Linked DNA regions of Arabidopsis thaliana. The protein of the gene in region 2 interacts with the protein of the main gene of each other region in a pairwise test. Each region holds a gene or a part of one and is shown on either strand. Other genes may lie near its edges.

Region 1 (10,329 bases), on a different chromosome or scaffold from region 2:
GAGATTGAACAATGAATAATTGATAAGTATGTTTAGCAGTGAAGTTAATATGAGAATATGCATGATGGTATCTCTGCTTATCCTTTTCATTTTTCTTCCTGAAGATCACTGTTGAGAAAACTATTCTGGAACAAAGCAATAGCCGGTATGAGCTTCAAGGTGAATATGTATTGCCGGGTTCCCGTGACCGAGACCTTGGTCAGAAGGAAGCTGGCAGTTTTTTAATGAGAGCCATGACTGGTCATCTAGGAAGTGTTATATCCTCCATGGGAAGATGGAGAATGAGACTTGAAGTGCCTAAGGCAGAGGTTGCTGAGATGCTTCCTCTTGCAAGGCTTCTTTCAAGAAGTACAGATCCAGCTGTTCACTCAAGATCAAAGGTTATTGCTAAATCATATGCTTATATTGTGATTAGCCATGTTCTAAAATGTTGGTTCAAGAAAAACACCTGCTAGAGCATTTTCATGTTCGTGTACTCCAAAAATATGTTCTCATCTCCTCTTTGAGCTGGATGCCTCTGACTGTTTGGGTTTCTTGGTTGGTATGGCAGGATCTTTTCATCCAAAGCGTTCAAAATCTCTGTCTACAAGCTGAAAATCTTCGAGACTTGCTTGAGGTAATGTATTAAATATTATGCCTTCTGTCCTTTCGAAGTAGCTAACAGGCTTCTAATACAGAAAGCAGATTCTATAATAAGAACAAAAAAACCTGTGTAGACACCATTAAGCTCGCCTTTAGTTCTTTCCTATGCTAAATTATATGGTTCCTTAAAATCAGGAGATACGTGGGTATTATACTCCACCAAGTGAAGTCGTTCTTGAAGATCTAAGTCTTCCAGGTTTAGCTGAGCTCAAGGGTCATTGGCATGGTTCGCTTGATGCTAGTGGTGGAGGCAATGGAGACACTTTGGTATAAAAATAACCCTGTCATCTCGTTTTTAAAATAAAGGGTTAAGGTTGTCATCATCTAAAGGACACTCCAAATTGGTTTTCATAAGCTTTCGTGTCCAAGGAGACGGGTGCAATTGTCTTTAGAAAAAACTTTTTATGAGTGAGATATTTAAGTGAGAATTTCTAGTGATGTCTTGTTTAAATGTTTTCCTCTTACATCTAATACCAGGCCGAATTTGACTTCCATGGAGATGATTGGGAGTGGGGGACTTACAAAACACAGCGTGTTCTGGCTACTGGTTCGTATAACAATGATGATGGTTTACGTCTTAAGGAGATGCTCATTCAAAAAGGAAACGCTACACTGCACGCAGATGGGACCTTATTGGGGCCAAAAACAAATCTTCATTTTGCTGTTCTGAATTTCCCTGTTAGTTTGATACCTACCTTGGTTGAGGTTGTTGAATCATCAGCTACTGATATTGTTCACTCTTTGAGGAAACTCTTGTCACCAATCAAAGGCATTTTGCACATGGAAGGGGATCTTAGAGGGAGTCTTGAAAAACCAGAATGTGATGTACAAGTTAGGTTATTGGATGGTGCTGTTGGTGGTATAGACCTTGGACGAGCTGAAGTTTTTGCTTCTCTTACATCTAACAGTCGTTTTCTTTTCAACTCCAACTTTGAACCATTTGTCCAAAATGGTCATGTCCATATACAAGGAAGTGTTCCTGTTAGCTTTTCGCAGAAAAATATGTCTGAAGGAGAAGTCAGCGAAACAGATAGAGGTGGTGCAGTGAAAATCCCGAGTTGGGCAAAAGAGAAGGAAGATGATGAGAAGAGAACCTCAAGGGATAGGAGCGAAGAGAGATGGGACAGCCAACTAGCTGAGAGTCTCAAGGGTTTATACTGGAATATTTTAGATGCAGGAGAAGTTAGACTGGAGGCAGACATCAAGGATGGGGGAATGACTTTGTTAACAGCCATATCTCCTTATGCTAATTGGCTCCAAGGAAATGCTGATATCAGGCTTCAGGTTGGCCATTGTCCTCTTGTTGTGTTGTCTTTACATTGTAAGATAGTTAAATTGATCTGCCATGTCCTCAAATTCTGACTAAATTCATTTACGCATAACCTATCTGCTGAGCAGGTCGGAGGTACAGTAGACCATCCAGTGCTTGATGGGTCTGCTTCATTCCACAGGGCGTCTATCTCTTCACCTGTGCTTCGTAAACCGCTCACAAACTTTGGTGGAACCTTACATGTTAAATCAAACAGGTTGTGCATCACCTCACTGGAAAGCAGGGTAAGTAGAAAGGGAAAGCTGGTTGTTAAAGGAAATCTTCCCCTTAGATCAAATGAAGCATCTGCTGGTGATGGAATAGAGCTCAAATGTGAAGTTCTAGAAGTACGAGCAAAGAATTTTTTAAGGTATACTCTGCAATATCAACGCTGCTGTCAATCATTTTAAGCTTTTAGTACATAATTTTGATTTATCTTTCTTACTTTAACTATTGATATATCTTGATGGGTACATACTTTATCGTGGATCAGTTTTGTTAATTTTATATATCTAGACTGCATGCTGAGATACTGTATCGTCTAGGTTTCTTCCATTTTGCTCTTCTAGACTCATGTTACTGAGCTTATTACTTTTTCTGATTCCGTGAGAGATCGTGTTGCCATATCAGTTGTCAGGTTGATACTCAGCTGCAAATTACTGGATCAATGTTGCAGCCAACTATATCAGGAAATATTAAATTAAGCCAAGGAGAAGCTTATCTGCCTCATGATAAGGGTGGTGGAGCTGCCCCTTTAAATAGATTGGCAGCCAATCAGTATAGTATTCCAGGTGCTGCTATTAATCAAGCAGTTTCTTCACGATATTTTGCTCGATTTTTTGGCACTGAACGGGCTTCTTCAGGGATGAAATTCTCTCAGTCGACTGGTAACCTACATGTTTACTAGCAAAATTTCTACGTTTTTTTCTATTTTAGTATTTGGACTTTGTATGTAAACACTTTTGTAATGATCTCGGTTTGTTTTGCCTGCAACAGGTAAATCAAATTCTGTTGAAAAGGAGATTGAAGAAGTGAAAATGAAACCAAATATGGATATCCGTCTGAGTGATATGAAACTTGTTTTAGGACCAGAGCTGAGGATAATGTACCCTTTAATTCTTAATTTTGCTGTTAGTGGTGAGCTTGAACTTGATGGCATGGCTCATCCAAAATTTATCAAACCAAAGGGTGTCCTAACATTCGAAAACGGAGATGTCAATCTTGTGGCTACTCAGGTTTTGCCTAAATCTCTGTTTTGATTTTATGTGGTGAACTCATTCATTCCATAATTCTTGCAAAGCCAACATGTCCTCGAGTAACCAACATCTATTTTGTTTTCTAAACACAGGTACGTCTGAAGAGGGAGCATCTCAACGTTGCAAAGTTTGAGCCTGAACATGGACTAGATCCTCTGCTAGATTTAGCCTTAGTTGGTTCAGAATGGCAATTTAGGGTTCAAAGTCGTGCCAGTAATTGGCAGGACAAACTTGTCGTGACTTCAACACGTTCTGTTGAACAGGATGCTCTCTCACCTTCGGAGGTAAATTTGAAGTTAAAATGTAGCTGTATTTTGGAAATTGTTGTGTTTTCTTCTTGATGGAAATCTCTGTTTAATAATCTCCCTTTCGCAGGCTGCAAAGGTGTTTGAGAGCCAATTAGCAGAATCCATATTAGAAGGAGATGGACAACTTGCTTTCAAAAAACTTGCAACCGCAACACTTGGAACCATAATGCCAAGGATAGAAGGAAAAGGAGAGTTTGGTCAGGCGAGATGGAGGTTGGTGTATGCTCCGCAGATCCCAAGTTTACTCTCTGTTGATCCAACTGTGGATCCTCTCAAGTCTCTGGCGAGCAACATATCATTTGGAACGGAAGTTGAAGTGCAGCTCGGAAAACGTCTTCAGGTCAGGCATAAACATTGAAATCTTCTTTCTTCTCCATATGGCCTCATTTTTTTCAAAACCTAACCAAAATAAGCACTCCACGGTTCTTGCTGTCTTTTATCTACAGGCCTCTGTGGTAAGACAGATGAAAGATTCTGAGATGGCAATGCAATGGACACTTATTTACCAGCTCACGAGCCGCTTGCGTGTCCTTCTGCAATCTGCACCTTCCAAACGTTTGCTTTTTGAATACTCTGCTACATCACAAGACTAAATCCTTTTGTCTTCCTCTGTCGGATTCATATGGATATAAGCCGTTTGTTGCAAAGGAAGTGCATTTTGGAATAGCATGGTTTTGGTGACTACCGACAAGAAAAATTATTTTATTATTTGGTCAGTCTTTCTTTGTGCACTTCTTCTGGCCTTTTAGTGGTTAAAAATGTAAAAATTACATTGTAAATGCCTTTTGTTAGGGAATGCATATAAAATGTTTTGCCACTTCATTGACTGATTGGTGCAACAAGAAAGTAATGAAATTTATTATATCCAACAATGGACATGGATGGCTCTTCTGGATACTTCAGTTAAAACTGGAATGTCTTACAAACACTTGCCCAAACAGAACAAAGACAACATCCAAAGATATACACTGAACAGACTAAAGCTTATGGCTTACTAAGAACCTAATTAACACCAAATGCTACAACGGCTTATTGGTTTCATCTAACTATCATTAGCTGCCTCTGCAAGCTTGGCGGAAAATCTAAGCTTCTTGATATTCAATCTTCTTTCCTCAACACATAACGCTTTCCATTCATCACTCAACTCTCTTCTTTTTCCAGTTCCAAGGTTCATCAGCTTCTCAAGCTGCAACTTCTTTTGATAACCACTTAAACCTTGCGACATTACAGCCTCAAATGCATCCTGCACAGCGCATAACTCATCATCATCATCGTCATCATGTCTCTCTTTTCCACCAGTAGTCCCGTTCTCTGTTGTTTTCGCTGCCCCATTCTCATTTACAAGTTCAGTATTAGCCACTTCCTCATGCTCCTTCAACATCTCCTCACTCTCGCTCTCGCTCTGCTGTGCTATTTGAGTAGTCCCGTTATTGTCTCTTATATTCTCTGCACCATTCTCATTAAAGGGTTCCTCATGCTCCTTCAACATCTCCTCCTCGCTCTCGCTCTCGAGCTGCTGTGCTTTCCGAGCAGTCTCGTCGTTGTCTCTTATCTCCTCTGCACCATTCTCATTTAACGTTTCCTCATGCTCCTTTAACATCTCCTCCCCACTCTCGTTCTCCTGTGCTATTCGAGCAGTCCCATTTTCAGCTGCGCCATTTCCGTTTACATCGTGCTCCTTCACCATCTCCTTATCCATACCATCATCATTACCAAATTCACCTTGTCCCCAAATCATCGAAGAAAATCCAAAGGCTTCAGAATCACTAGACCTAGTAAATTTCGGATCATTCCCTTCACTGATTTTCTCCCAATGAACATGAAATCTCCTTTTCAACTTCCTGATCTTACTCAAAACCTGCTCCTTGGAGAATTTCGCAACGATAGAACTTCCGAGGAAACTGTAAAACGCATCCCAATCAATTTTGGGATTGAATCCTGTCTTAGCTCTGTAATCAACTAATCCCTGAGAAATTTCGAATCTGGTTTTGAGAAAATCAGAATGCAAAACCAAATCAAAGTGTAACGGAGAAGATGAATAGAATACCTTTAAGATAGAGAGCTCATCTTCCTCGTTCCAGATCCGGACGATCAACGGCGGACCCAAATTCTTCTTCTTCTTCTTCTTTTTCTTCTTCATAGTCTCTTCGCCTGCTTCTGCTGCGAAGGAAGCAGCAGCACGCTTTGAGGAAGGATTCCGTGGAGATTCTCGATGGGAGAGGGTATCGTCGGAGTTATCACCACCACCACAGGAAGAGAAATCGATCTGCTTCGGAGTCACCATGGTAATTGCTTTACACTTGCTGATTCTAGAGGCATGCAGAGAAACCCTAAATCAGGAAATCATATTAACAAAATTGATCAGTGATTCCCAAATTTTCACGACCTTTAAAAAGTGAAACCCGAGAGAAAAAAAAGCTAGTCTTTCCAAATTTCTGAATCGAGCTGGTCAAAAAATATCATGACTGAAATTTTCTCTGCACTTCTGTTTTATAGTATAATCGATAGGAGTGGATTTTGTTACTTTTGTACTTTTTGTTACAGAAAGGAGCAATATATTAGCGGGCTGCGCAAGCCCATCTTACTAATAAAGTGCCAAATATCGGTGACTGTTGAGAGAAAATCACAAAATTTGGAAAGCAGTGTTGCCTGCAACAGAAAATGCATAACAAACACAAAATTGCTAAGGTGAAACAAAAAACAATTAATATCCTCCTCTGCCATCCTGATGAGACCACCACTCACTACATGGTCTAACCATCGAGCCACCATTTACATGAGTAACCCCAAGAGTCCAGTTAGATTGAGGCTGCCACTCTGGTAGTATATCATTGTCATTATCATTATAACTTTGGTTCCTCAAAGGTTCAGATTTTCCATATTTTTGAATAAGCTCTCTTACAGATACAGACCGGCTTGTCCGGTTCACGACAACATCCCCACTGGAAAAATAGTTAAATTCAGGCAAGTCATCATCTTCATCCCGAGCCATGGTCATTGGGCCAAACCCCGGTGGCACATCATCACCATCGTCATTGTTGACCTGTAGCATGTTACTGTAACGAGAAGTATTATATGTGGTTAACGAAGAACCCTTTTCACGGTGGTTCTTGTGAGAGTTGTTAGATAGTGGTGATTTTTTAAATTGTGTGTCTTCTCCATACAACAACACCTATAAGACCATCATCATTTATAGATTTCAAGAAATCGAGTTGGTTTCTCGGAACAATCTTGTTTAGAATCTCGACAGTTCTCCCACGGGTTGGGCATAGGTATAGCTCAACTCCTGAAGCTGGTTCTGCATAACCCACCCTCCCATCTTTAGCGTATGAATCCACCACCTGTATAGTAACAAAACCAAATGCCCAAATTTCGTTACCAAGTTAGACATTCTACAGATATTTAGGAGTGTTTCAATTTAAATTCGGTTTGGGTTTTCAGTTTGTACAGATTCGCGTTCAGTTTTGATCAAATAAATCATTAATATTCAAATAAATCTCAAGTTTTTTTAATCATCTTTTCGTTTATTTGGATACACAGAATCTTGGTTAACTACCAACGCTCATACCTCGGAAATGTTCTCTTGTTCTGTCTTTGAGCACTCTTCTTTGCAGACGAAACACATAACCTGTAACACGAAAGCAAGGTTTCAGAAGTACCATGATGGATAAACGAGTTCATCACATACATATAGAATCGAGAACAAACAGGTCTTAGTTTTATTGGAATATGGAGGCCTATTCAAGAAACATAAGCTATGCAATTGTTCTGGTGAAAATATTTTTGTAAGTCCATCTATCTCCATTGTGATTCACAGATGTAATGTATTTTTCTCAATCATTCACAAATCAGTATTGGCCGTTAATCTCTCCTCTTCTTTCCTAAATGCTTCTACTTAAGCTTGGTTAAACGTCACAGTTAATAGCTTTTGCAGGGGCTCAAACACAGAATGCGTATATAAAACATGTACATTAATGATAGAGGTAAACGTGTAGACAAATACCATTACAGCACGACTCCTGGAATTTGGGAGCTCTCGAACAAACTTCTCAAATGCATCTAATCTGACTCTACCCTTAATCTCGAGCAAAATAGGCCACTCTTTTGTAGTAGTCTTTTCGCCACTGTGAAGCGTAAAAATCAGGTTGGTAAACATGGTATCAATAACAGCGAAGCCATATTCATTAAAAAAACATTTTATAGAGCTGATAAGCACTAGAATAGTATAGATAAGTAGTAACATGTAGACTAAATAAAGAAAGCTATTCATATATGCAAACCTAAATTTGGAAATGTGGAATAAAAAAAAAATACTGAGATAGGTTTGCTACCACTCATGAAACAATTTATTACAAACCTTCTTAGAATGCCGATGACAGAGCTCACAGTAGAAGGACTCAGCTGGAGCACACCTTCCCATAAACGTTCACCATCAGGTATGAAAACAGATGTAGTTTTGGATTTCAAATCAGAACTAGGCTTTGACGATACTATGTCAGCATCCTCAGCGTTAACAGGTGATGATGCCTTAGCCGTAAGTGGTGACAATGCCTCAGCCTTAACTGGTGATGTACAAAGATCAATATTAGCACTTTCTTTGGGTGATGAAACTAAAACCTCCTCTACATCATTATTATCTGAAACAGAAGGTTTTTTCTCAGTATCTGAAGACAAAAAGCCAGACGGAGATTCAGAATCTATGGATGACATGAATTCATCAAGAGAGACAATTGGAGGAAGAGATCCAGTGGCAGCCTGCATCTCATCATCTATTGTGACTCCGTTTATTGGCCCAGTGCTCTCATTAGAGCTGTTCAATTCATTCTTGACTCCAAGAGTTTTCGTGATGGAAGGGGTTTTCTTCTTAAAATTCTTTGTTCGAGACCAGTTAATCGAACTCATTCCAACAGAGACCTCTACAGAACCACTATCCATTGGTTCAACTTCCACTTGGAACTCTCCTTTGTGTGTTTTCCTTACTAGGCTTCTGATATCCACCTCAGTGTCCTGCAGAACAACCATCTGAGCCATCTCTTCTGCTTTTGCTTGTCGCCACTCAGCTAGTTCCTTTGAAGCAAGTTCCTCTGCTGACATGGAACACAATCGCTCTGCTGCAATTTCTCCATACATAACTTTTTCCCTGAGTTTAGGATTACTCTTGTCTTTCAAATTGAACAAGAGAGACCTTCCTTTCTCTTTATATTTCTTATTTACACCACCAAATAACTTAAAGAGTTCTGTCTCTATTTCAAATGCCAAAACTTGTGGATCCAGTAACAATTTTTCCAGGCTCCCATCATTAGCCATTGCACCAATCATTTCATTTTGACAATTGACAGTAAACTCAATGTCCGACTCGAGAGCCCAAGAGAGGTCATTCCCTTGCAAAAGATCATCTTTTGAAAACACATTGTCACTATATGAAACATTGTCTTGCACAAACGGTTTTACAGCCTCAGGTACTTGGGCATCACTTGTCTTGGCGATAGACAAAATCTCCGGTAACACTGTCTGAACAGAGATACCCGCAACAGGACTAGGATCACTGAGGGTCAGCATCTCAGTACTTCCATTAGATACCATCACATCAACTCCAGAAGCAGCTGACACTGGCCCACTAACATGACCTTCTAGAGGATTAGCTACAGTCTCACTATCTAACATTTTCGACTCGTTAGGAACATCCATTTGACACTGTACCATTGCCAATGCACCAGCTAAAGATTCTCTCATTTTAGACCTCACAGAACCAGACGACTCACTTTGAGGTTTCAGCAACATCGGTTTCTGTAAAGTCGGTTTTCTCGCCGCAGCTTGCTTCCCAGGTTTACTAAAAGAAACAAAACTATTCTTACTAACAAACGAAGCAGGCAAATACTGTGTTCTAGGGGAAACAGAAGATAACTGCACAGGCATTGGAGCAGACGCCCACGGTCGACCTTCCATAGGTAATGCCATCCGTTTATTTTGCACAGAAGGATGCAACGGAGATTTCCGCTTACCAGGTAACAGAGTCTTATCCATATTAACTGATCCTAAACCAACAACACTAGGCAACATTACATGAAAATCTTGTCTCCCACCAGAGATATGACTACAGATTGGTTGTGACAATCTCATTTCCGGATTAGAAATCAGCTCAGGAGTGGGAGTAGGGACATTAATGAATTGACCCATTTGCATACAAGGCTGAGGCAATAGATTGTTGGACATAACAAATCAATCTAACAAAACAAAGGCTGCAAAAGAAAAATGACAAAGCGGATTCAGTGAAGATTCAAAAGATTTCGTAACAACAAATGTATCGACATTGATTCAGCTGTTATTGGTTCTCATTGAAACAATTGATGATTTAGTGAAAGAGATGATTAATCGTGACCAATGGCAATGATATGAATCTAAGCTTCTACTTCATCAATGTTATAACAATGTAAGAAAGAGTGAATGTCTAATACCTAATCTGAGAAGCGAGGAAGAGAGATCAGAGGCGGCGATTGGGAAGAGAAGAGCATGAGTCTCTATAGTGAAGAAGAAAACCCTAAAGGGAACTTAGAGAGGCATGTGAGAGAGATGTGACGACTCTATAATTAACCTCTCTAATCTATTAATTCGTTATCTATAGCTGCTCCTTAACCGTAATTAGCTTTTCAATTATAACTCAAATAGTATTAAAAAATTATGAGAAAATAGTAAAAAAAATTGTTGTAATGATGCAGGCATAAACTGTTGTCTGTGCTAAAAATATTTTTCCAAATGAATTAGAGAGATATCAATATGAACTAAATTTCTATAATTTTAACTATTTTTATTTAAT
Region 2 (8,325 bases):
ACTTCCTTACCTTCAGCACATTGTGTCAGAGACTTTACGGCTTTATCCGGTGGCTCCAATGCTTTTACCCCACTTAGCATCAGAAGATTGTATAGTTGATGGCTATGACGTTCCACGCGGCACAATCATCTTGGTGAATGCATGGGCCATCCATAGAGATCCAAAGTTATGGGAAGAGCCAGAAAAATTTAAGCCGGAGAGGTTTGAGAAAAAAGGAGAGGATAAAAAGTTGATGCCATTTGGGATTGGACGACGATCTTGCCCTGGTTCAGGGCTAGCTCAACGGCTAGTGACTTTGGCTCTTGGATCATTGGTCCAATGTTTTGAGTGGGAGAGGGTTGAAGAAAAGTATCTAGACATGAGAGAAAGTGAAAAAGGAACCACAATGCGAAAAGCTACATCGTTGCAAGCTATGTGTAAAGCTCGTCCCATTGTCCATAAGGTTTTAGATGCTTCTTGTCCATAACTTTCATCATACAGAACCTCTTGTATAACAATTTCGATAGAAACACGATCTGTTTTGTTGCTTCTTAGCTATGGCCTTACCAGAGTACTCTATATTTTGAGGTAAAGACAGGCTCTTCTTTTCTAGGAAGTAACACAAGATCTTTAAGGTCAAAGAGAAAAATCTGGTTAACTCCAAACAACTAAAGGTCCAACGTTTACTACATGCCATAACTTAGTATTGTAGGTAAATGAGATACTAGTAGAGAATGTTGGAGAATCAAAGTTTAGTTACTATCGGAATCGTTTCCTGAGTCCACATTCATCGGCTGAGGGTTCTTGTAATCACTGATCTCATCCTTGTATCGCTGCTTGTCGACTTGAGCCTTGGCTTCATATGGCTCTTTATCATCAGCTATACATACACACGGTTGGGGAATTAAAACACATTCACATGATAAAGTAAAACCAAGTAATGTATTTACTTTTGAAAAGGATCTTCAAATTTTTTACCAGACATTTGACGCCACTTATCTCCAAGCACCTTTCCCACCTCTCCAAATGCTATTCCTGGGTGTTCCTTCTTTATGTTCTGTTCAGTTCACAAATGGAAAATGACATAATCAGGAATGTGCTAAGTTTGTCTGTTAATTGTTTGCTCTCATGTATGTAATAGACCGAGGATACTCCATTTCGCAACTTAGCCTACATCATAGAGGTAAAAGTAAAAGAAAGGAGAGAAGAACTCACATCTCTTTCCATTTGGGAAAAGAACATGAAACCAGACATTGCTCTTTTTGGTGCGTTGGGATCCTTCTTCTTCTTCGGCTTCTTCCTCTTACTACTGCCTTCGTCTGCGGCTACAGTTTTCCTCTTAGGAGGCAATCCTTTCGATGACGAAGCCTCTTTCTTAGGTTCCTTCTTGATAGATTTCTATAACAAGTCAATGACAGGAAGATATGAGAAACAAATACTGCTGCTGAAAGAGTTCGAATGAATGCGACAAAAGTTTACCTCTTTTATCTCTCCTACACCGCCTTCACTAGCATCAGAGTCGTCCCCGCCAGAATCATCAGTTGGTGAACCACCATCATCATCCTCACCCATAACAAAGTCTTCGTCCTTCATAAATTAAAAGTCTCGATTATCAAACACATGATCATTAGAATATGAAGTAATTCGGTCAGACATAAAGTACTTGCCTCCTCATCACTCTCATCAGCAGCTTGGTTTCTGATACGCGTAAGATGAGGGTCAACAGCATCATCATCATCATTATCCCCAAGAACAGCAGCAACACCGTCTGCGGTACCCGCACCTCCAAGGTTCATAATCTTCAAACCCTTAGAGCTGCAGCAAGAAAACATAAGGAATATTCACCACAAATCTTAAATGCACTCAGTAAATATAGACGGAGACAATGAAATAATCCGCGCTAACCTTATGAAGGTATAGAGATTGTGATACTCATTTCTTTGAATGTTACGGAACAGATGTTCATGGTCAGTTTTCAGTCTTATGAGAAGATCAAAGTAATGCATGTTAGCACCACCAGCAGCATGCCTTTCAAACTCGACATAGTCAATCTAAAAACGAAAAAAAAACAGGTTAGAAAACCCAACTCTATCTCAAAGCCTATAAAAAATCTCCAATCCTTAATAACCATAATTTACCTCATCGTGAAGTATAAGCGTTGGAGGTTTAGGTAAGAAGAAAAATCCCTTCTCGAGTGGATAAAGAACCCCATCTTCTGCCTTGAGAGACGATTTCACTGCAAACCCATCTTGGGAACTGCGGAACTTCCCAGGTTTAGTGATCTTTGCACCAGACAGCCAACGCAACACGGTGGTGAATACTTCATGAATGAGACCCTGAAAATTCATACAATTCAGCGTATGTATAAATTTTTTTATTCAGGAACAATAATGTAAGTGCAGACCAGACAGAAACCTTATATGATCGCTCCAGCTTGTCCTTGAACTTTGTATTCATAAGTTCATCACTAATTGACAGTTCACTTTCGACAACGGTGTCTGTTTCAAACTGGAGAAGATGCAAAAACAGTTATGTAAATCAGAGTAAAAAAACGAAAATTATACATAGAAAATTGAAATGGAAGGAAAAATGTAAGTAATGTTTACCTGCATAACAATGTGGGGGTACATTGTCTGACCTTTCCGGATTGGTGGGTCTAGAGAGATAACAACAAACGTGTGTGGTTGGTTTGACTGCTCAGGCATATAAAAAAAAATACGAACTCAATTAATGTGAACACGATTCAGTGATCATAATACGATAATCCCTTTAATCTGATGACTGCTAACATAGGTAACTGCCCTGAGATATGCTTAAAAAAGAATTACCTTTGGAAGCAAGAACAAACGGACAACGCTACTGTACTGGATTTTAAAGTCATTAGCTTGTCCTTGCAATCGTAAGAAAGAAAGGTGAAGTTCCACATTGTACCGACCCCTGTGATAGAAACAACCAAATCATTTAGTCATGACAAGATGAAGCCATACAATAGTGCAACAAATGTTTAAGTAATCAACTCTTTACCTGGGTGTGAGGATTGCAATACTCTCAAATGTGACGACCGCATCCTCAACTCCAGGACTAACATCAGCCATTGCAACGATTGTGTCATTGAAAACCTGAGACATTCTTTTAGCATCAACAGAAAAAAATATATACTTGAGGCACATACATATAATGAAAATAGTTTGGGAACTCACTTGAGAAGGTGGACGGTTTTCATCACCAACAAACTGAGTGTTGGAATTAGGAATATGAAAACTAATCTCCATCAGCGAGTCTTTCTGTAAACACGTAGAATATAAATCAGTAAATGTACATACATAACAGCCTAGAGATTACATATCAAAAGAAACCAGTACCTCATTAGCACCAGCAGTATCATCAACATGAAACTCCAAAGTAACATCATTTTTCCCTTGAAGCTGAGTCTGTGAAACATCAGCTAAAGATACTTCAAAAGCTTGTTTTGATCCAACCAAAAAGGTTAGTGTATTCCCTACACAAAGAAACAAAAAATTCTCCCTTTAGATCCACAAATGAAACTAGACAACCACAAGTAAAGCCTAAAAGCTATAAGAACTCTCACCGTGTAAATCCACCTCTCCCCAATTACGACCACTAACTGATAATTGCTTCTCATCCGGTGTTTTTCCATAAGAACTTTGGAAAAAGCTAGACAGACTTGGAACATCCTACAAAACAAAGGAATCAGAACAAGCACAAACATTACAATATCAAATCAAATAAAAAAGATATACACACACAAACCTGATCTCGAAATCCAACGAACTTGTAGTACAATCCATCTTTGGTTTTGACTCCCAATTGATTACTCTTTGTCACTTTCGTCCAACTAACACTTACAATATCAGATCTATCAACTTCCACAGCTTTTCCACCACCTTGTTTCTTCCATTGAATTCCTCCAGAATTGATTTTAAGTAAACCCGGGTTCTAAAAAACCAAAATTGAAACCCTAATTAGCCTTAAGAAAACCCTAAAAACTACCGCAGCTTTAACAATTGTAAACAAGAAAACAACACAACTGAAAAATGAAAGCGACAATCTTTTTTTTAACCCTAAATTTGACTCATTGAGTTCTTTAAGAATCGAGCGGCGGAAGCAAAAGGGGATACAGAGAAAGGAGATTAGGGTTTTCGAAGGAAGAGGAAAAGGTGAAAACTTTGAAGGAATTGAAAGATCTTGAGAGATAGAAGGAGACAGAGAGAGAAGATGGTACCTTTCCACCGCGACCGCTGAGAGAGATATTATTGAAGGAGTGGCCGTCCGCCATGGTTTTCTGTTGAGAGACACGAGAGAGACGAGAAAGCGAGAGCGAAAGAGAGAGAGTGATTTTTTTTTTTCCAAACTATGATATCAACTTTTATACATAGACACTCAGGCGGTTTAATTTTGGGAAGAAAACCAATTTTCGAAAATTAGATTTTCCGGTTTAATTGAATTTTTGAGTTTTTGGTTTTGCAGATTTGGGAAAAAGACCTTTATCAAAAAACGGTAAAAACAGAAGGTTGTTTTGAGTTTTGGATTTTTTCACATTTGGAAAAGAAACCTCTTATAAAACAGAATTTTATATCAATTATGTAGGCATGCGGGTTCGGTTTACCAAACCGGTTACTTCGGTTTTGTTTGGCTTTGGTTAGGAGGGGAAAACCGGTCTAAGGGTATGGAGAAGTGATTATTGAAGGAGACAATAGGAATGTGATGGAGCTATTCAAAATAAATAGACAACCAAACAGAGGATCCGAGCATTGTCTCTATTGTTCAACATTACCAAATGGAAACAAGCTCATAATAGTAGTACATGTTGTATTAACCTCAAAAACCAAACTATCAAAGTCTTTTTATCCAATGTAATGACTATAAATTACCCTGCATTGCTAGAATTCTTCAGAACTGTTTTCGTTTGTTCCTAAAGAGTCTATCTCTTTTCGAGAACACGTAACCAACAGCCATTAACCCGAATCCCGACACTGAAACAGTTCCCCATGGGAACGGTGGATCTTTGAAACAGTTGAGACTCGCTTCTACCCGTTGTGACGCGAGGTACACTACTGAATGCACTGAGTACAAGTCGTGTGAAGCTGATCTTAAGTAGAACAAAGCCATCTCGAACTCATTGTGTGATAGAGCAGAAACCGTTTTATCCAGCTTGTACTGCATAAGATTCCACCTTTGCATGAACTCAGAGTGGCGATTCTGTTTCCGTAGGATCACATCTCCTCCATATGCAACCGCGGAATCGATAACATCGATTGCACTTGTGATAGTTGTGTTCAAAGATGTCAAAATCACGTTTCTCTTAGCAGCATCTTTCTGAACAAACGATAGAGACGAGATATCAGAGAATGGTCCAAACGGTGTTTGCCCAATGCTCCATGTATAATCAACTAGAGTTGTGTTATGTCTCGGGCTCCATGTCAAATGAGTAGAAGATACACCCCACATACTCTGCAGAATGGAACCAACGAGAGGTCGTTCTAAGTCTCTCGTATGAACAAACACATGACGCCCGTTGCAAGTATAATCACTAACCGTTTGAGTTCCTCTAGTTCTAACAGCAATCACCATATCTCTAAAAGCAACAGACTGATGATACCGATCAAGCAACAAAGGCGTATTGATATCCAAATCAAACACATAAACAGGTAAAACCCTAGCAAACTCATTTCCTTCTTCTTCAACAATCCCCGCAACTCTCCTCAACTCCTCAGCCGAATCAGTCAACGCCCGATGCATATGCTTAGAATCCAAATACTCACTCACAATCAAAGTATAGTTATCAAACAAAAACCTAGAAGTATACGAATTCATCCCACGAGATACCGCAAACGAACAAATCGAACATTCTCTATAATTCACACTATAACTCTTAAAACTCAACTTCTGTTCACCTAACAACAACCCACCACTCTCAGCTTCATCCATAAACGTTCTCTTCACAAACTCCAAATCTAACCCACTCGAATCCTTAACCTCTGACCCATACACATGAATAAACTGAACCACCAACGTATCCTCAAAGTACACAGGGATTCTCAAAGAAGGAACAATCAAAACCTGATAAGCATTATACACCAACGAAGCCAAATCCGCAAGTAAAGCTTTTTCTGATTTAGGACGACCATGTAAAGCAGCTAAAGGATGAAACTCACCTCTTGGTAAAACACCATCACCAGATAAAGCAGGACCATAATCTACAGGACCAGCAGAGAGATCAATCCATAGATAACGATCTTTACCAGTCCAAATACTACCTAAACATTTCGTAAACCCAGCTGATGAATCACCATGAGAGTAACTATAAGCATAAGGTTTAGCTTGTGAGCCTAAAGAGATCAAGTAAATGTAAACACCACCATCTCCATGCTTCTCTTTCTCATACTCTTGCTTTATAATCTCATCGATTGGATTGTACTGGATCGAAAGGAGATTAGATCTGAGAGATGAAGTTGTTGATGAAATTAGGGTTTTCAAAGTTGAATCGAGTCTGGTGGAGAGAGATTGGGGAGATAGAGAAGCGTCAAGGTGGAGAGAGTGAGAGATAACGAGTTTGTGATTTGTTGATGAATCTGGAGATGGAGAGATTACATGGAAGTTGTCGTTAGTTACGGCGGCGGAGATGAATTCGGAGAGAGTGGAGGCGGCGGAGGAAGGGAAAGAGTCTCCGATGAAACGGACGTTGAGTGGGATTGAGATTGAGAGAGAGAGGAGAGATTTGGAGAGTGATGAGAAGTGGATTGATGAAGAAGAGAGAGATCGTTTGAGAGAGGAGGAGAGTGATGTGAATGAGTCGTTTGATGATTTTGGGTCGAGACGATATTGGTTTGTTAGGAAGGTGTCTAGGCCTGGGATTGGTGGAGAAGAAGAGGAAGTGGTGGTGATGAGTAGGAGGAGGAGGAAGATGGAGGCGGATCCGCCATTGAAGTAGGTGGTGATGCGGTGGTGCGTCATGTGAGAGTGGAGGTTAGAGGAGGAAGACGAAGACGAAGATTTGTTTGGGCTTTCGAGGGCTAAAAATGTCAAATTGGGGTTAGATTTAAGTGGATTTTTCACATTGGGGTTAAATTTAGGGGTTTCACTCCAACAAAAAACTATCATTTAAAATTTGGGTAATGATAACGTGAACGCGGTTGAAGTTATGAATTATCGACCGAGGTTTTGAATGGATGTTGCGGTTAATACTAATCAATCCGCGATTCAGTCTACTTTATTTTAGGGGTAGACAATAAATCAATACAGATTTAATTTATCTCAATCAGTATTCTAAAAAGCGATTTTGGTGGTTGTTTAGGCCTCGACTAGGGGCTAGGCTCTCATGCGACGCCTAGATGACCGTTTCGACCGCTTAAGATTAATTATGCTTCCAATATATGTTTCCAATATTTAATTATTCAAATTTACTTTTTTTAAGTTTTGTCTTCATATACATGGTTTTAAATGTTCAAATATTGTTTAGTATGAATTATATGTACGTTTTATCACATTTTTGTTTATAAATTTAATATTTATATTTTTTTAATCCATATTTTGAATGATGTTTATCTATAATAACATATTTATAATGTTTTATGTTATAAACATCTTAACCGCCTAAAATTGTCTAGACTCCGATTAGGTGTTTTAGGCGGTAGACATTGGATCACCTCCCGAATAGCGTCTGACGTTTTCTTGAACACTGATTTCAATATAAAAAACGGTGTGCAATTGGTCCACAACGTCTTTTTCTGTTTTTTTTATCTATACTATTAGGAACTATAGTTTATGAATGGTAAATAAAAAGCGGGTCCAGTCCATACACGGTTTTGTCTGCTCGAACCGTTGTAACGATTCGGACTCTAAGAAATAGTAGGAAAGCTCTCTTTCTCTAATATTTTTGAGAGAGAGGGGCTCTTATCTTTATTTGCGGTTAACATGTCTTTTCCGTTGTTATATTCTTGCCGTCAACATAGTTTTTTTGTTGTCATGTTTTTGCCATTAACATGGTTGTTCTGTTGTCGTTTTTAGTCGTTCCAATGAAGTTGGGTTTTTCGTCCCGATTAAGTCGGGCTTTTTGTTTGACATCACAATTTTTATAACATTGCAAAAATGATTTTTCCAATGAAAGTAAGATTAAATGCATGATGTAGTAATTTTTTTTATATATATCTATTTAGAAAATGTTATAAAAGAATATAAAATTTAAAATTTAAAATCCGTTTCTAAAAACAATGTATGTCAAAGAGTTTTATTTATTATTAAGTTTTTACTAAAGAAAAAATAAAAGATTATTAAACTCAATTTAAAATTTAAAATTTATATTTCTAAATAAAATAAAATTAATGG
Region 3 (9,833 bases), on a different chromosome or scaffold from region 2:
CAACAAGAGGTCCTTCTTGAGGCGGTGAAGATCATAAAGAAGCACGGTGTGTCGTTAGGTACCACCTGGGACAATTCTACATTGTGAGTGATCATTTTGTAGAGACAAGGAATACTGATCCGGAAGCTACTTAGCTAGATGGATCCAGAAATCTGTGTTTTTGGGAAATTACAGAAAATCGTGATGACTTGTTAGGTTTCAAGAGAAAAATGTTTCATATTGGCCTTGCTTTTATTTCTTTCCTTCTAGTTTCTGTTTAACAGGTAGGTATTTATAGGGTTCTAACAATTCCTATGTACAGGAAAAGATCAATTCAATATGTTAAGCAGAAAATGGCTCGTTTGATGTGGTTTGCAGTGCATGATCAATTAGTTCAGCTCAACTTTTGCTGTTTAGTTTATTCCCTTTTTATTAATACAAAACTTGAAACTCTTTATTGGACGTGATGTGAGTGAGTGGGTAAGTCATAAGGAAGATTTGGAAGAAGGCCGGGAAGTATCTTCACTCGTACCATCTCTGCAACCGATGAAAACGTATCAATGAAATGGATCATTTCTTGTTGAGTACATACAAATTTTTCTTTCCAACACCATTGAAACTGGTTTGGAAAAGGCATTGTTTCAAACTAAGTTCTCTTGAGAAACAGTTTCAAAACTTTAGGAGCTTCCCTCAAGGCAACAGAAACTGTTACAATGTGCAGCCTCCGCAGGGAAAAGGCTTCGAGTATTTGATCATAACCCGTTTTGTTAATGAGGTTGAACCTATCACCATATAAGCTATTTAGAACTCTTGTCATTGCTGAATATGTTTGCGAATCCATTCTATTGTGTGTTTCTTCGTTTTGTAATAACTCTGGTTATGAGTTTTGAGTAGAGAGACATTCAAAAAGGAAGCACATTTACAAAGTCCTAAAAGTTCATTACAGTCATCGACCAAAAGGCTTGTTAAACAACTTAGCTAATTCATTACAACCATCGACCAAAGACAACTTAGCTAATTCTCACACGAGAATCCAAAGTCCTAAAAGTTCATTAACGTAGACAGAGAGACGAATCCTAAGTTAGATAACAAAAGAAGGCATTACATCTCCATTTAAACCCGAGATTAAAAACCGATAAACCTATAATACAATCCAATAGCTTCCTCTTCTTCTTCTTAGTTGGTTTGAGCAAGCACCGAAGTCACCTCCTTCAAAACATCCATCTTCTCCAACAACAACTCACATTTCTTAGCGTCCACAAGCTTCATCTACATTAGCATGCATGACTTAATATAAAGGTGAGAAGAAAGGCGAAGCTTCTTAAATTGATGGGACTTTACACCAAAATGAGAGGTGTAGAGTGGAACACATTTCGCTTTCTATTTTGAATTCGAGAATATCATACACCTGATGAGGTATATGTATTATCATTCAAGCTTAAAGATTTTTATAATATATTAAGATAAGCCATATTCATCGATGGTGTTTTTTTCAATGTGTTTTGTCAATTGGAGCTGAAGGATGGAGATTAAATTGATGCAATGTTGTATCAACAAAATGGTTATGGTCCTCTTCTATAAGTATTTAGAGTTTGAATGTTTCAGGTGTGAATGTCAAGTAGAAGACTACATGCACGAGTCAACCGTTCTTTAACATAAATCTTAATTATAAATATTAAAAGAAAAAATAAATACATGAATGGTGTCTTGGTATTAGGAGCACTACAGAGACAACTCAACTGATTTTAAATAACAAAAATCTTAAATATAAATCTTAAAACAAAAAAAAAATACAAAAATGATATTTTGATAACATGAGCATTATATGCACATATATCAACTGATTTTAAATAACCAAAATTTTAAATATAGATATTAAATAAAAAATAAAAATAAATGAATGATGTTTTGGTAATAGGAGGATTACATGCATGAGTCAACTGTTGTTTAATTAACATAAATCTTAACTATAGATATTAAATGAAAAATGAAAATACATAAATGATGTTTTGGTAATAGGAGGACTACATGCACGAGTCAACTGTTGTTTAAATAACATAAATCTTAAATATAGATATTAAATGAAAATACATGAATGTTGTTTTGGTAATAAGAGGACTACATGCACGAGTCAACTATTGTTTAAATAACATAAATCTTAATTATAAATATTAAAATAAAAAATAAATACATGAATGGTGTCTTGGTATCAGGAGCACTACATAGGCAAGTCAACTGATTTTAAATAACAAAAATTTTAAATATAAATCTTAAAACAAAAAAATACAAAAATGATATTTTGGTAAATGGACCACTATATGCACATATATCAACTGATTTTAAATAACAAAAATTTTAAATATAGATATTAAATAAAAAATAAAAATACATGAATGATGTTTTGGTAATAAGAGGACTACATGCATGAGTCAACTATTGTTTAACTAACATAAATCTTAATTATATATTAAATGAAAATACATGAATGTTGTTTTGGTAATAAGAGGACTACATGCACGAGTCAACTATTGTTTTAAAAACATAAATCTTAATTATAAATATTAAAATAAAAAATAAAATACATGAATGGTGACTTGGTATCAAGAGCACTACATAGGCAAGTCAACTGATTTTAAATAACAAAAATCTTTAATCTCTTAAAACAAAAAAAAATACAAAAATTATATTTTGGTAACAGGAGCACTATATGCACATATATCAACTAATTTTAAAATAACAAAATTTTTAAATATAGATATTAAATAAAAAATGAAAATACATGAATAATATTTTGGTAATAGGAGTACTTCATGCACAAGTCAACTGTTGTTTAAATAACATAAATCTTAGTTATAAATATTAAATAAAAAATAAAATACATAAATGGTGTCTTGGTAACAGGAACACTACATAAACATGTCAACTGATTTTAAATAACAAAATCTTAAAATAAATATTAAAATAAAAATGATAATACATGAATAGTGTCTTGGTAATAGGAGGAATACATAGAAAGATACACTGATTTTAAATAATAAAATATGAAATAAAAATACATAAATGATGTATTGGTAACATAAGCACTACATGCACATGTCAACTGATTTTAAATAACAAAAATGTTATGTTAAAACAAAAATAAAAATACATGAATGATGTCTTGGTAAGAGAAGGACTGCATGCATAGATCAACTGTTTTTAAATAACAGAAATCTTAACTCTAAATATTAAAACAAAAAGGAAAATACAGAAATAATGTCTTGATAATAGGAGCACTATATGCAAAGGTAAACATGTATTTTTTCTGCTTCCCTCCCATTCAAAGCCTTAATCAATGAAGTTTTGGCTAAAAGAATGATCTTTGACCGATGGAGTATTGTGTCGCTTGATGTGATCTTTTTACATTAGAATTGTGGTCATTTGTCTCAGGGAAAAGAGGAGCTATACAATATAACAAGAGGTCCTTCTTGAGGTGGTGAAGATCATAAAGAAGCACGGTTACGTTCCTTTTGTAATATTCCTTGGATCTCGAAATCGAGTACAAGTTCCTATCATGCTAATGGCGGAGATGGATGAAGGCATTTTACATTGTAATCTGTTCATTTAATTTGGATTGCTTTCATTGTTTCATTTGTTTGACATACATAGACACTAATAGTTGAGGATTATGTATTTACAACAATAAAGTGTTCCACTACACAAGGTACAATCGATATATATATAGTGTTAACTCTCATTTGTGTATATATGCATATCAGTTTGTAGGTGTTACTATGATAGTAGTACATTTATTAATTTATAAAAATTTATACGTAAAATACAATATTAATTTTTTAAAAAGAAAAATTTTAATTTAGTTTTTCTTTATGTTTTATTGTTTGTATATTCTGTTAGATTTTTTTTTATTACTTTTTTTATTTTTTCTCTGTAAGATATTGTGCATGTATACGACGTTAACGTGAGACTTAATCCAATTTTTTATTACACAAATCTTAACAATGATTTTTCATATAAAAAAAGTTACAAAACCAAATATGACGGATCAAATACGCAAAGAGTTATGTGAATACAAAAGAGATCACACCAACTATACTCTAGAAAGAGTTGCAATTATGACTTGAACAAAAGTTTCATATAAAATTAGTCTTTGAATGTATGCTAAAGATTTATGATTATTAATTTTATGATATTACTGGTACCATATTTTTACATAGGGATTTCAAAAAAAATATTATCTTATTATCTTATCGATTTTGGTTAATTTTTACATTACCCCGATTTGAGACCGACAAAATTTATTAATTTATCGTGTAATATGTTTTGTTCAAATACCTTTTAATATCTATTTAATAATAAAAAAATATTCAATCAGAAATGGATAATATATAATATAATTATTTACTTAAAATATATCAGCAATGAATCTTAAAATGTAGAAAAAACTAAATTTTAATTTATTATATAAAAAAGGTAGATAAAATATTTTATACTATTAAGTGACTAAAATGATAGATTTTTGCAAGAGCAAAATTGTACTATTGATGAATATTAAACAGTAGAAAAAAAGATGAAAGTGTTTGTTTTGTTATGAATGTTGAGAAAAGTATGGCCAAGTGTTACTCATCCTATTTTGCTTTTCTTTTTCTCTCGGGTTTCACTTTTTAAAGGTCGTGAAGATTGGGAATCACTGCTCTGCATGCGCCCTAGAATCAGCAAGTCTAAAGCAAGCAATAAGCATGGTGACTCCGAAGCAGATCGATTTCTCTTCCTGTGTTGGTGCTGATAACTCCAACGGTACCCTCTCCCATCGAAGATCTCCACGGAATATTCCTTCCTCAAAGCGTGCTGCTTCCGTCGCAGAAGAAGAGACTATGAAGAAGAAGATGAAGATGAAGAAGAAGAAGAAGAAATTGGATCCGCCGTTGATCGTCCGGATCTGGAACGAGGAAGATGAGCTCTCTATCTTAAAGGTATTGTATTGATCTTCTCCATTTATAGTTTGATTTGGTTTTGCATTGTGATTTTCTAAAACCAGATTTTCGAAATTGCTCAGGGGTTAGTTGATTACAGAGCTAAGACAGGATTCAATCCCAAAATTGATTGGGATGCGTTTTGTAGTTTCCTCGGAAGTTCTATCGTTGAGAGATTCTCCAAGGATCAGGTTTTGAGTAAAATCAGGAAGTTGAAAAGGAGGTTTCATGTTCACTCGGAGAAAATCAATCAAGGGAATGATCCCAAATTTACTAGGTCTAGTGATTCTGAAGCCTTTGGGTTTTCTTCGATGATTTGGGGACAAGGTGATGATGATGGTATGGATAAGGAGCACGAGGTAAACGGAAATGGTGCAGCGGAAAACCGGACTAACGAGAGCGGGGAGGAGATGTTGAAGGAGCACGAGGAGGAAGTGGCTAATACTGAACTTTTAAATGAGAATGGGGCAGCCAAAACAACAGAGAATGGGACTAGTAGTGGAAAAGAGAGACATGATGAGGACAATGATGATGATGATGAGTTATGCGCGGTGCAGGATGCATTTGAGGCGGTGATGTCGCAAGGTTTAAGTGGTTATCAAAAGAAGTTGCAGCTTGAGAAGCTGATGAACCTTGGAAATGGTAAAAGAAGAGAGTTGAGTGATGAATGGAAAGCGTTATGTGTTGAGGAAACAAGATTCAATATCAAGAAGCTTAGATTTTCCGCCAAGCTTGCAGAGGCAGCTAATGATAGTTAGATGAAACCAATATGCCCTTGTAGCATTTGGTGTTGTTTAGGTTCTTAGTAAGTCATAAGCTCTAGTCTGTTCAGTGTATTTATCTTTGGATCCTGTCTTTCTTCTACTTGGGCAAGTGTTTGTAAGATATTCCACTTTTTACTCAAGTATCCACAAGAGCCAATGTAGTAGAGTGGCTTGTGCAAGAGTCTAGAGTCTAGGGTTAATAATGTGCTTTAAGGCATGCTTGTGTGTGTGCCTAAGAGTGTAGTGAAGTAGTATAAGTAAGAGTGTGTGTGTGTCTTGTAATATTATCCAAGATATTAACAATGTAGAAGATTAAAAGAAAAATGGTTTTTGTTCTTACTCTCTAAGACAATGAAACCTTAAGAGTTATATCTTACCAAATAAAAGAGTCAAACATTGATTCATTTCAATATAGAGTTTCATTTGATTTCTAGCTTCACCTTGGAGCAGAACTTAAGGACGCAACTTGTTTCTTCTTCCCAAATCAGTTCCAACATGATGGATTCGTTTGCCTTCACATCGTTAGCTTGGATGAATCCTTGCCATCCTCCTACCATTCGTAGTCTTTTTCTTTTGTCGTCCTCGAACCGCAGAGTCGTTAACCACTTCACACCATGTTTATCCAACAGAGTCATTTTAGTTTCTTCATTGATACCATTCATCCTCGTGAAAGGAACCGGAAGACGCTGAAACATAGATTCACACAAAAGATTCTCATTCTATAGACTGTTAAAAGACAATGGCTTGGAATGATGAAACGTACCAGTAGAGAACTTTGGATTGTATAAGGTGTTAGAGTTAATGTCACAAATCGGTTTTCGGATAGTAAAGACTTTCTTCTTGAGATTTTCTCGTCGTGGATACTCTCTTCATCGCTTTCTTGCTCTGTCGAAAGAGAGACTACTTCATTAGCTTCTTCTGGCTCGTTGGGGATCAAACGTAGAACAAGAGTTGCTCTTTTCTTTATCAGTTTGAGAGTTATGATACTTCCAGCTCTTAGTCCATTGGCACTACAGAAACTTCTCCATCCTCGTTTGATGAGAGAAGTTCCGGATGATTTCTTTACTTTCAAATCTAAAGTCCATGATTTTCCCTTTTCATTAATCAGAATCATCTCTCCACATCTTTTGTCTACACCATTTTCCCTCATAAAACGCTTTGGAAGATACTGGAACAATACAACATAAGTTTCAGACACTAGAATGAGAGTTTCTTTTGGGATTCAAAAGTAAGAGTAGAATACCAGTGTGTCATAGCGTAGACTCGAAGGGGAGACATTAGCCACAAAACAAGAGGGATCTTGTGAAGAAGACTCTGCCTCTCTTGTTACATTCTTCTTCACTTTCTCCTTCCTTTGAATCTTTTCTGAAAAAAAGAAAGAAATAAAATCCATATGAGCACGTTTCTTGAATGTCAAGTATCATGGGCAGAGTTAGAGAAAGAAAGAACAGAACTCACCAAGGTTGCGCTCTGCATCGCTTTCCGGTTCTTCGGGAAGAGACACTTCATTAGCTTCCTCTTTTGGCTCATTGGGTAACAAACGTAGAACAAGAGTTCCTGCTCTTTTGATCAGTTTGAAAGTGTAGTTATCTCCAGCTTTAAGCCCATTGGCATCACAAAAACTCACCCACCCTCCTCTAACATAAACTGTTCCGTTTGATGGCTTTTGTCTCAAGTTAAAATTCCATGATCTGCCCTTTTCATTCATCAGAACAATCTCTCCAGATCCGACTACACCATTATCCCTCACAAAACCCCTTGGAAATCTCTGAAAAATTCATTAGAATACAACATGAGTTCAGACCCTAGAATGAGAGTTTCTTTTCGGGTTCTTAAGAGTCAAATACCATCAAGTCATAACGTAGACTCGAAGGCGCAACATTAGCCACAAAACAAGAGGGATCTCGTGAAGAAGACTCTGCTTCTCCATTTGGATTCTCCTTCACTTTCTTTTTCTCTGAAAAATAAGTGTTATATAGTCAAACTGGTTATCTCTACTCACTGATCCACATTCCAAAAGCAAACCACGTTTCTTGAAGAGCCAGAGACAGAACACAACTCACCGTCACCGAGGTTGTTCTTTTCGACTGAACACGAACCATATTGAATCCCACAACAACTAGGTCCCAACAGTGTTACATGGAAAGCCAAGTCACTCTCTTGTCTGAAAACAACAATGTCACCGATTCGAAGATCATGTGAGACAGCAAACTCTTTCCAACCGTCGGTGAGTCTCTGGCCATCTATCTTCACTTCCCAAGTTCTCTTTGACGCGTCTGATCTCAGCTTCGCCGTCTTCTGCTCATATCTTCCTTCTATATACTTCAAGAAGAAGGCTACAGGAATTGTCTGAAGCAACATGCAAATACAAAACCAGACTCATCTTTAGCTTCTCAGAGAGACATAGACAGAGATAGAAGAAGGGAAAGAGCGAGAAAGAGAGTACCAAGGAGGCGTGGAAGCCAGGAAGAAGAGGCTTGAAGAAATGTTGATGCGCCATTTTCAAAATCTTGAGAAGTCCTAAATGGCTAAATCTGAAAGTCGACGGTACAGTTTCTTGAAGGAACGAGTGTAATAAACTCCAACTTGAAGATGACAGTTTATTGGTGTTGTTGAAACTATGAGAGACCATTGATATACTCAAGAAGAGACCATTGAAGAGACTTTTATTGTGGTTAAACACTCTGGTTCGGTTCAGGACTTTCAGAATTCATATGTATTGGATTGAAATTTCTTGAACCGAAGTAGACCGAAAGTAAAGTTCGGCTCGGTTCAATTTTAATAGCATAAATTTCGATTTGGTTCAAGATAAAATATTGGTGTCAAATTGGAACCAAAAACCAATTTCAGGTCGGTTTACTGTAAGAGAGAGTTCATATTTTTCAATAATTTTAATTAAACTTAAGATAAAAATTGGTAACTTCAATTAAATTAGAATAATCGTTTGGTTTCAGTTCGGTAACTATAAACCGAACCGAGTACTGAAGTATTACTACAGTAATTTTTATTGAGTTTACTCAATAAACCTAATCGACTAATCCTAACCGAATTCATATTCCTAAATTCTAATTTACATTTTTTTTGTCTATAGATGACACTAAATTTCACTACTTACAATCTTTTCCACTTTGTTAATTTCAATAAAGGTTTCCCACTTGATCAAATGATCTTTCTAAATGTAAAAATATAAAGCGACTTTGTAAAATTACTTTTAGTACATATATTTTTGTTTTACAACAAAGAAACCTTTCATTTTGTATACCAAGAATTACAACAAGAAAATCTAGTATGAATTTTGTTATACAAATTTCTTATACATTTGGGCAAAAAATTGTTTTTTTTTCCCATGTTACAGTGTTACATATAAGGATGATGGTTTATTTATTTTGTTGGGCTTAATTAGTTTTTGTTGTTGAGCTTTATTTACTTTAATTGTTTCTTAAATATAAGAGATGTTACAGTGTAAAAAAATAAAAAGTCTCGCAACTCACAAACCCTAAAATTGTCCCTTCAGTTCCCACTTGGTACTCATACCCGAGAATCTGAAAGAAGAAAATCCAATGGCTCCTTTGGAAAGTCCAGCAACCGCTTCTTCAAGCGAAGTTGAGAGTTCTTCTGAAGAGATCTTTAAGTCTTCTTCTGAAGAAAGCAAACCCAAAGATCCTGTCACAGTTCCTTCCTCTAAAACCCTAAAATCTCCTTCCGCCGCTGTGAATTCTAAGACAGATTCTTCTGATGACTCAGAGAAGCAGTCATTCGTCTTAACCAGGCGGAAGAAGAAAGAAGGTGCTGCTGAATCACCGGCGGTGAAGTCAGGGAAGAAGCGAGCTGGTGAAGGAAGCACCTCAAGGGACATGCATGTCAAAAGAGTTAAGAAAGAGGACGATAACAAAAAGGCGAATCCTCAGAGAGTATGGAGTGAAGAAGATGAGATCTCTCTTCTACAGGCAGTGATTGATTTCAAAGCTGAGACAGGTACAAGTCCTTGGGATCATAAGAATGCGTTTTTTGATATCGCCAAGAAATCTATAAGCTTTGATGTTAGTCATGTCCAGTTCTTTGACAAGATTAGAAGATTAAAGAATAAGTATTTTGTTAACCGGAAGAACAAAAGTGGTGA

Evidence for each region.
Region 1: the proteins of HMG (region 2) and AT2G25650 interact in binary tests that used the Arabidopsis thaliana proteins (3 or more experiments, as listed by UniProt).
Region 3: the proteins of HMG (region 2) and AT4G00270 interact in binary tests that used the Arabidopsis thaliana proteins (3 or more experiments, as listed by UniProt).

The regions. Positions count from the first base shown.
Region 1 is NC_003071.7:10,910,235-10,920,563, reverse strand, and holds AT2G25650 (DNA-binding storekeeper protein-related transcriptional regulator), read right to left. Parts: upstream 6,054-10,329; 5' UTR 5,800-6,053; coding exon 5,563-5,799; intron 5,482-5,562; coding exon 4,558-5,481; 3' UTR 4,348-4,557; downstream 1-4,347. Other genes in the region: emb2410 (embryo defective 2410), read left to right, coding at 105-380, 551-616, 778-909, 1,120-1,926, 2,041-2,321, 2,582-2,838, 2,948-3,186, 3,300-3,491 and 2 more; AT2G25640 (SPOC domain / Transcription elongation factor S-II protein), read right to left, coding at 6,656-6,856, 7,084-7,143, 7,519-7,639, 7,873-9,728. UniProt on the Arabidopsis thaliana protein: Probable transcription factor. May play redundant roles with GEBP and GPL2 in cytokinin responses by regulating the transcript levels of type-A ARR response genes. Involved in stress responses.
Region 2 is NC_003074.8:10,780,905-10,789,229, reverse strand, and holds HMG (high mobility group), read right to left. Parts: upstream 4,343-8,325; 5' UTR 4,277-4,342; coding exon 4,223-4,276; intron 3,937-4,222; coding exon 3,751-3,936; intron 3,675-3,750; coding exon 3,569-3,674; intron 3,479-3,568; coding exon 3,342-3,478; intron 3,264-3,341; coding exon 3,180-3,263; intron 3,099-3,179; coding exon 3,004-3,098; intron 2,917-3,003; coding exon 2,808-2,916; intron 2,673-2,807; coding exon 2,586-2,672; intron 2,488-2,585; coding exon 2,395-2,487; intron 2,316-2,394; coding exon 2,118-2,315; intron 2,031-2,117; coding exon 1,885-2,030; intron 1,795-1,884; coding exon 1,647-1,794; intron 1,567-1,646; coding exon 1,459-1,566; intron 1,378-1,458; coding exon 1,195-1,377; intron 1,037-1,194; coding exon 958-1,036; intron 860-957; coding exon 732-859; 3' UTR 501-731; downstream 1-500. Other genes in the region: CYP81D11 (Cytochrome P450 superfamily protein), read left to right, coding at 1-466; AT3G28720 (uncharacterized protein), read right to left, coding at 4,891-7,101. UniProt on the Arabidopsis thaliana protein: Component of the FACT complex, a general chromatin factor that acts to reorganize nucleosomes. The FACT complex is involved in multiple processes that require DNA as a template such as mRNA elongation, DNA replication and DNA repair.
Region 3 is NC_003075.7:113,351-123,183, reverse strand, and holds AT4G00270 (DNA-binding storekeeper protein-related transcriptional regulator), read left to right. Parts: upstream 1-4,540; 5' UTR 4,541-4,715; coding exon 4,716-4,949; intron 4,950-5,032; coding exon 5,033-5,707; 3' UTR 5,708-6,099; downstream 6,100-9,833. Other genes in the region: AT4G00290 (Mechanosensitive ion channel protein), read left to right, coding at 1-87; AT4G00280 (ER protein carbohydrate-binding protein), read left to right, coding at 333-371, 472-533, 661-775; MEE45 (Transcriptional factor B3 family protein), read right to left, coding at 6,133-6,432, 6,477-6,881, 6,957-7,078, 7,172-7,481, 7,561-7,670, 7,777-8,062, 8,160-8,213; AT4G00250 (DNA-binding storekeeper protein-related transcriptional regulator), read left to right, coding at 9,274-9,833. UniProt on the Arabidopsis thaliana protein: DNA-binding protein, which specifically recognizes the GL1 enhancer sequence. May be involved in leaf initiation. May play redundant roles with GPL1 and GPL2 in cytokinin responses by regulating the transcript levels of type-A ARR response genes.